2 linked regions of the Oryzias latipes genome follow. The protein of the gene in region 1 binds, or shares a complex with, the protein of each later gene. Links are inferred from orthologs where the notes say so. Each region holds a gene or a part of one and is shown on either strand. Other genes may lie near its edges. The genes, in order: ptar1 and ykt6.

Region 1 (3,265 bases):
GATCTAAAACTTCTAAATGTTCAGAAATTATTTTTAAAAATTCTTTGTCATTTATTTTATTTGTAAGAAGTCCTGCAACTATGTAAGTTTCATTAAAGTTTAAGCTTTTAAGGCTGACTGTTTCTCCTTTTTAACAACATATGTGCTTATATATATATATAAAATATATTTCTATGTATATATATATAAATGTAAATTATATAAAAGCTACTTAGATGCCACCAAAGGCTATAGAAAGCATTGTCATGTGGGATTGACGACCTCACCAAGATGGCGTTACGCTCCGCCACCGTTGGCCAGGCTTCCCAAGTGGGCGTGTCTCCTCTAGCGATGTACCGTAATCACTTTGGGATCAGTTTATTTAGAAGGAAACAGGTGGCGGCATCAGCAGGTGGCGCTCTGCTTTGACGTCATGTTAAAGATGTCTGCCTGAGTGTGGCTTTCTTCCTCGTGGATCCTTCAGGATCTTTTTGATTAGGACTTCCTGATGTTTAACAGGAGCACAAGCGGAGGATTTGGATGAATTGATCTCACTGTTATGTGGATTTGCTCTCATCAGTGATTCAGTTGATCAAGTTTACATATTTGTCTGAGCTCCGTTGGGCGGGTGCAGGTGGAGCTGATGTGAGCAGAACCGGTCTAAGCTTCCAAACCTGAAGCGGTCCGCCGTCATTGGAGACCAGCCTGCTGACGGATCATGGAGTCATGCAGAGAATGACGGGTAAAAACGACAGGAAGTGATGTCAGAGGCAAAAGAAGCGGCTTTTATTGCAAAGCGCGTTTCTGGTCTACCCAAAACCATTCAAGTACCTTAAAGTGTCGCTGCCATGGGCCTGGGGGGGGCGAGGCATGCACATGTAGCTCTGGGTCTGAGGAGGTCAGTGTGAAGGTCACCAACCGCTACATAGTAAAGACCCCCCCAGGAAAGAAATGCAGCCCCCTGAACGTGTGAACGGAGTCCGTCAGTCACACTGCAGAGGGCCTTTCCTAAGAACTGTAGTGTTCTGGACCGGCAGAACTCCGGGTTCTGCTGGGTCCTACCGCTCCCCCTCCTGTTTCTGTTCTGCACGCCGGCATGAGTAGGTGTGGAGAAACACCCCCCCCCCTGAGAAGGAGTCAGACGGCTGAGGCTTGAGCTAAAAACACTGGAACGGGAGGCAGCCCCCCCCACCACCACACCAGCTGGGCTTCGGAGGAGCTGCTGGGTCAGAACCGTCCAGAAGGTTCTGGATGGTTCCGTCAGAGTGAAGGGGCTCTGCAGGCAGGTGTGCTGGTCCTTGACCTAAAGGCAGCCTCAGTGCTACGAGGAGGCGGGGCTTAGAGTTGGCGGTGTCAGGACGGCACGCCCACCACCGTGTCCAACCACTTCCTGTAGGCCAGGGCGAAGCTCCTCTGCTCGGGGCCGCAGCCGTCCAGAAGGCCGCTGACGAACACGTGCTCAGTCTGTGAGGTGGGGGGCTGTGGGAGTGGGACACCCCTCCTCAGCCGTTTGATGTCCTGTGGATCTGAGGAACACCCCCGCTCCACCTCCATGGGAACTCCAGCGGAGGTCTGGCTGAGCCGGGTTTGAGCGCCCTCTGCTGGATCCCCGCCTTCATCACCGCCGTCGCCCGGGTGCTGCTCCTTCCAGCGGTGCCACAGGAAGAAGACGTGCCTCCTGGGGGGGGGGAAACAACATGATCTGAGGAAGAGGAGCCCCAGCAGAGCTGAAGAAGACTTCCTGCTGAGAGGAACTGACCTGTGGCTCCAGAGGGTCTCATGTCCGGGAAAGGACCGGATCAGATCTGAGACCAGCTCCAACTCGTGGCAGAAGAGCTGCTGGACCGCGGGGAGGTCGTGCGGCGGCTCTTCGACTGCGGATCGCTCGCCGTTGGAGCTGCAGCCAGCGGGCGGAGCCAGAGCGCCGGTCAGCTCCTGCAGCAGGAACTGGCGGTAGTGGAAGCCGCTGTGGTCGGACACGTGCGCCGACACCCAAGGCCGCATGGACGACAACTCGTCCAGGAAGACCTGCAGGAACGGGGAGGGAGAACGTGGGAAACCCACCGGAAGAACCACTGCGTACCCACTGACCCCCCACAGCTGGATCAAAAGTGTGGGCAACGTTAACGTTGGGAGGTGGGGTCATCTGGACCCCACACGATAGCACAAGGGTTACAGAGCAGTAACTTTAATATCACACATCTAAAGAACTCCAGAATCCAATCTGTGGATTTCAGGACCAGAGCAGCTCATCAGGAGGTTCAGGACTTTACCAGGTGGGTCACTCTGGCTTTTGGGGTCACCAATCCTCTTTTAGACAGCGTTGCTACGACCCCTGCTCGTGTCTGCATGTTGTGTGTGAGTGTTTCTCACAGCTCCTGCACAGCTGCTGACTCCGCCCCCCCTGCAGAGCTGATTGAGCCTGCTTTCAATCGCCTGGCTGGGAGGGAAGCTTTAAAAACTCCCAGGATCCTCTGCTCCAGCTGTATTCCTGAGAGGATTGTTTCTTCTGCCTGGCGTCAGCTTGAGAAAGCCTCTGGTTTCCCTCGTACCTTGATTCTGCTTTTTTCCTTTTGTTAAATTTACTCTTGTTGCATTTTGAGTAGTTTTGTGTTTTGCTATAAAGCCTGACAGTTTAAGTTCTACCATCATTTATTCCACCTTTGGTGTTTTGTTGGTTAGTTTCCTTTGATTTTTATGTGTGGCCGACTTTAACCCCGCCCAGTTATTTCTTTTTTCTTTATGTTACATCCTTCCTCCTTGAAGAGGGAATAACAGCATTGAGCTCCACACTTCTGACCGAGTTCTTCACCGAGTCAGACAGACAGAACCCGGCACTGGACTCGACGGACCCACCTTGACGTTGCCCTTGGCCAGCCGCTGCAGCACCCAGATGCGGTGCGACCAGGCGTTGTAGTTGCTGGGATAGCGGCAGGCGGCGTCGGCGCACACCTTCATCTCCTGCTGGAGCGTCTGGGCCAGCTGCTCGCCCAGGAGCCGGCTCCTCTCCGCGTCCGTCTGGTTCTGGTCCGCCGGCGGAGCCTTCTGCAGGAGGTGCAGCAGAACCCAGCGCCTGCAGACATCAGAGCACGCCGTCGGCATGCCAGCTCCACCACAGCTGTGTGTTTACGTCCTCACGTAAACTGTTTCCTCTCGCTATGAACGAGGTTTATTCCTTAAAGGGTCGTTTAAAACCGCTGTGACCACATTGAGTTATTTCTCTTCAATATTTAATCTTCTTTACGAGTTTAAAATGTTAAAGAAGAGAAAATAACTGCAAATTCAG
Region 2 (4,438 bases), about 25 Mb from region 1:
TCTCTCTGACATGACTGCATTTTTTTCTTTTTTCAAACTGAAGTCATAAACCTGAAAGAAAAGTCTCACAGATTTCTCTTCATTCCTACTCGTTTGTTTGGTGCATAAAACCACATGGACGCGCCTTCATTGTTGCTCAAGTTCCATTACAAAAATGTGTGGGACTTGTCCAAACACTAATTAAAAATATATATTTTAAAAAATAATTATTTTGGAAAGTTGGAGGAGTAACAAAAAACCCAAAATTAATAAATAAAAAAGTCAAGTTAGAAAGTTTTCAGATAAATCCTCGCTTTGGCTGTTAACAACAAAAAAAGGTTAAATGACAAAAAAAAAAGCATCCAGCGTCTCGGTGAAAACGTTGCTGTATCTCAACAAAACCAAAAGCAATTCCACGAAGGACAAATCATTTCCTCCCTTGGTGCGACTGGTCCAACAGATGCGCCTTTATCATTTTGGGTTGCTTTGGAAACCTGTAACAGGCGTGCCTCTCACACGAAAAACACTTACTTACACCGAGTTAAGTGGACAGGAGGAAATTGTTAAATGGAGCAAAATTACAAGAGAAAACATCAATTGAGGGTGCCAAGTCTTTAGTGGACTAATCGACATTTTCACCTCCCACCTCCAAAAAAAGAACCTTCAGACATAAGTCTGTATGGGTTCATGAAAAAATCGTCTAATAACTCGATGCGGGAAGGGTGACCCAATTAAAAACTGTATTTGACGTTTGTTAAAAGTACAGAGCAGGGAGTACAGTTGGTAAAGGTTTTGTAATTTTTAAAATAAAATACTAGTCATTGTAAGTAAACGTTGCTACCCAACACCATTTATATAACAACCATCAATAATAAAACACATAGGACACATTTTTAAACATTTTTTGTAATTTATTTAACTAAGCATCACTGATATGTACTAAATATGGGGCAGTCGTGGTGCAGTGATAGGGCGGTCGACCTCTGATAGGAATATTACGGGTTCAATTCCCACCTTGCCCACCCATGTGTCGAAGTGTCCTTGGGCAAGACACTGAACCCCACCTTGCCTCTGGTGGAAGGTTGGCGCCAGTGTTCAGCAGCAGAGTTGCCACCAGTGTGTGAAACTGTGTGTGAATGGGACTGTGACTGTAAAGCGCCTTAGGCCTTCGAAGATGGTAGAAAAGCGCTATATAAGTTTATGCCATTTACCTACTAAAACATGAGACCCTTTGACATCTAGAGGTAAACTAACCAGTTATTCTAAAAAAATGTTTTAACTTTATTTACAGTGAATCCATTTTATTATTGAGTATATGATGGGGGGGGGGTTATACATGTGAAGTACAAAAACATGAAAAAGAGGAATGTTGAGCTGAATATCCATGTTACCTTGCATGCTGCCTGACGTCTAGTATTACTACTTTCTTTATTAATGTAATTATGAAATAGCTATTGTTTATTTATCAAATGTACTGGTGACTCTGATGAGTGAGAGATTTTTAAATACATTTTTAACAGTTCACCGGTACCTTAAAAAGACACCTCTACAATGTTCCTCGCATGAGAGCGGAACGATGAATACAGCGGTTCGTGTTTCTTCCGAGCTACTACACCGTAGGACCGCGTTGGGGCAGTGACGTGGTGGCTGATTACTAAAGTACATCTTGGACAGTTGACGCTAATTAAGGTGTGGTTCGGTTATCTGAGCCGTTCGCAACTCACCATCAAGCTTTAATTAATTTGAAACAAGTGATTCTATTTGCTTTTTTGACCGGAAATTTATCGCTCACTGCTGATTTGCCTGGTAAGTTGTCTCGGGCCTCAACCAAACTAGTTAGCATGTTTGGCTAACTTCTTCTGCCGGGTTTCAGGAATGTAATCGAAAGTAAAATTGATGTACGAATATCTGTCTGATTGATTTCATGTAACATCCACATGATTGTTTTTTTAACTAGCTGGTAATTGTTAGTGGCAGACAGTATTTTCACTCTTGAAGGAAGTTGGCCCCCTCTCTTGGCCATCCAAGTTGTGTTGGATATTTGGATAATGCTTACTTCTTGTCCTTTTAATCAGATTTGATCCGAGGGATAAAAATGAAACTCTATAGCCTGAGTGTCCTCTACAAAGGAGCGACCAAATCAAATCTGTTGAAAGCGGCCTTTGATCTGTCCTCCTTCAGCTTCTTCCAGCGTTCCAGGTGAGTTCCACTGACCGTAACTAAAGTTTATTTTGACTGTACCGGAAGTAACGCACAGACCGCGTTTGAACTAGAGGCCTCCATGAACTTAAGCTTTGCTTTGTTGTCATCATTAGTGTGCAGGAGTTCATGACCTTTACCAGTGCCTTAATTGTTGAGCGAACGTCACAAGGGACCCGTGCCTCTGTCAAAGAACAAGGTAACACTGAGCTGTTTTTCATTATTATACATTAATCATAGCAAATGCCTTATTGTTATCACAGTGCCTAGGAAAAACTGTCATTTTTTAAACTATAAATTGTAGTATTATAAGAAGGGAAAAAAGGAATACAAACAGAGAAGAATGTATTGTCGACCTGAAGGAGTTCATTGTCTCCAAAGTGCTTTTTATATTCCCACAAATTCATTAGTCTTTTTTATGTAGCTATAATGTAGCTAGGACTATTTTCTAATAATACCTAACAAAATGATGTTTGACAGCTAAATGTAAACTTAAAAGGAGACTTTGATACTAAATAAAAATCACAGATGTTAGTTCTGTCTTCCTAATCCACTGTTTTCTTCTTTTGATGTTTTATATCTTGTGGGGTTTGTATATTAACAGGGGTGGAACAATTGATCGTATTATCAATTTTTGTTCCTATGATCCAACCAGACCTGTCTGAGGCAAGTTGTTAATTGAATTGACCTACACACTATTCTAAAATTGTTCCAAAATATAATAAATATCAATATTAGAAAATACCATTTAGATTTTACTACAACGAAAAACCACCAAGTGCCATCTCAGCAGATGACGCACAAGTGATGGCAGCAAAAATGGATCAATCCATCATTACAGTCCAATGTGTGGAAGTTTTGCGAAGAACTTGTTCTGTCGACAGTTTTATCAGAAAGCTACATAAGATTTTAAAAATGGAAACGCATGATCTACGGATTTACACGTACCTCTTTAAGCTGAATGTTTGGCCCACTTTGAGCCTTTCCCTGTTAGAAAAGAGTTTTCATTGTTTTGGCGATTTTTATTTTAATTGTTTTTGTTTTATTTTTTTAGAGTATTTGTGCCACGTCTATGTGAGAAATGACAGCCTGGGTGCTGTGGTCATCGCAGATACAGAATACCCACAGAGGGTCTGTTTCACATTGCTTGACAAGGTAAGTACAACATACATTTTTCAAGCAATTGACTAAAGATTTTAAAACTCAAATCCTCTTGATTTCTTTTTTTGTTCTTTCTAGGTGTTAGATGAGTTCTCCAGGCAGGTGGACAGTATAGACTGGCCAACTGGTAGTCCTGAAAAAATAAACTACAAAGCCTTGGATATTCACCTGGCTAAATATCAGGTCTGCTTTGCTATACCATTGAATGTCTATTCACATATCTGAACTGGAGAAAAGGAATAGTTTATTAAGTTGTAGAGTTTACTATTAGAGAATTTTGCCAAACTTATTTTTCGAAACATGTTACTGAGCTGTTTGTTCTTTTTTCCTCAGAACCCAAGAGAAGCAGATGCGATGACTAAAGTACAAGCAGAGCTGGATGAGACAAAGATCATTCTGGTAAACTTCCCTGTCTTCAGTTTTCACTAAGTTCTGAATTCTTGTACTAAATCTACAGTTTAAAAAAAGCGAACTGGTGTTGCACAACGTGTGCGTATTGTGTATTTCTGTCCATTTGTGACAAAGTGAACTTGTTCACAGGCATTAAAATTGATTGACGACCATGATGGCGCCGATCTATATCCGTTTGAGCTATTAGCTCCAGCCTTGGTCGTAGCTAATGCCGAAGCTGACTTCAGGGGCAGTGAACCTGCAGGAATACGGTTGAATAGTCTTTCTTTGTTTAGGAAGGTTTCTAACAAAGTGAAATGACCCAGAAATGTCAACCTTGATGAAAACATGTCAAACTCTCTTAACACAGTCAATAAGCTTCAATGCTTACTTTAAATTCTTCTAGCATAGATGGACAATCCATGTGAGAAAAAAAAATACCTTTTCATATTTAGAATTCACTTTTATACGGTTATTTTATTTGAGCAGAAATATCTTTTATGAACTATAAAGTACTCTTTCTTTTTAATATTTTATTTTTCCCTACTTTTCCTTGAAGATTTGGTGTTTTCTGTCGCTGTGAAATAAAACTGTAGAAACACTAAAGCAATTTGACTTTAAACTAAGAGGTGGAAATAAACAGTGTCTTTGCCATTTTTGAACAAGAGGCTCAAAAAGATGCCATCTGTGGACGTTTAACGGTCAGCAG

Evidence for each region.
Region 2: the proteins of ptar1 (region 1) and ykt6 are in contact, whole or in part, in a crystal structure (PDB 6J7F), measured with the Homo sapiens proteins. The link is inferred for Oryzias latipes from reciprocal best matches to the Homo sapiens genes PTAR1 and YKT6. Residues at the interface, in NP_001093136.1 of Homo sapiens: Glu31, Gly33, Leu34, Ile35, Pro36, Val48, Val50, Glu51, Lys53, Leu54, Gly55, Ser58, Lys135, Tyr191, His225, Ser228, Met229, His230, Val231, Ser232, Asp233, Phe298, Asp301, Leu302, Ser305, Tyr306, His309; in NP_006546.1 of Homo sapiens: Met1, Ser29, Phe30, Phe31, Asn83, Glu84, Pro86, Gln131, Asn132, Pro133, Arg134, Gln180, Phe184, Arg189, Ser193.

What each region holds. Positions count from the first base shown.
Region 1 is NC_019867.2:30,527,596-30,530,860, reverse strand, and holds the end of ptar1 (protein prenyltransferase alpha subunit repeat-containing protein 1), read right to left. Parts: intron 3,053-3,265; coding exon 2,836-3,052; intron 2,008-2,835; coding exon 1,739-2,007; intron 1,658-1,738; coding exon 1,333-1,657; 3' UTR 744-1,332; downstream 1-743.
Region 2 is NC_019867.2:5,871,755-5,876,192, forward strand, and holds the start of ykt6 (synaptobrevin homolog YKT6), read left to right. Parts: upstream 1-1,548; 5' UTR 1,549-1,668; exon of another isoform or gene 1,669-1,785; intron 1,786-2,054; 5' UTR 2,055-2,074; coding exon 2,075-2,178; intron 2,179-2,294; coding exon 2,295-2,377; intron 2,378-3,232; coding exon 3,233-3,333; intron 3,334-3,417; coding exon 3,418-3,522; intron 3,523-3,672; coding exon 3,673-3,738; intron 3,739-4,438. UniProt on the Homo sapiens protein: Vesicular soluble NSF attachment protein receptor (v-SNARE) mediating vesicle docking and fusion to a specific acceptor cellular compartment. Functions in endoplasmic reticulum to Golgi transport; as part of a SNARE complex composed of GOSR1, GOSR2 and STX5.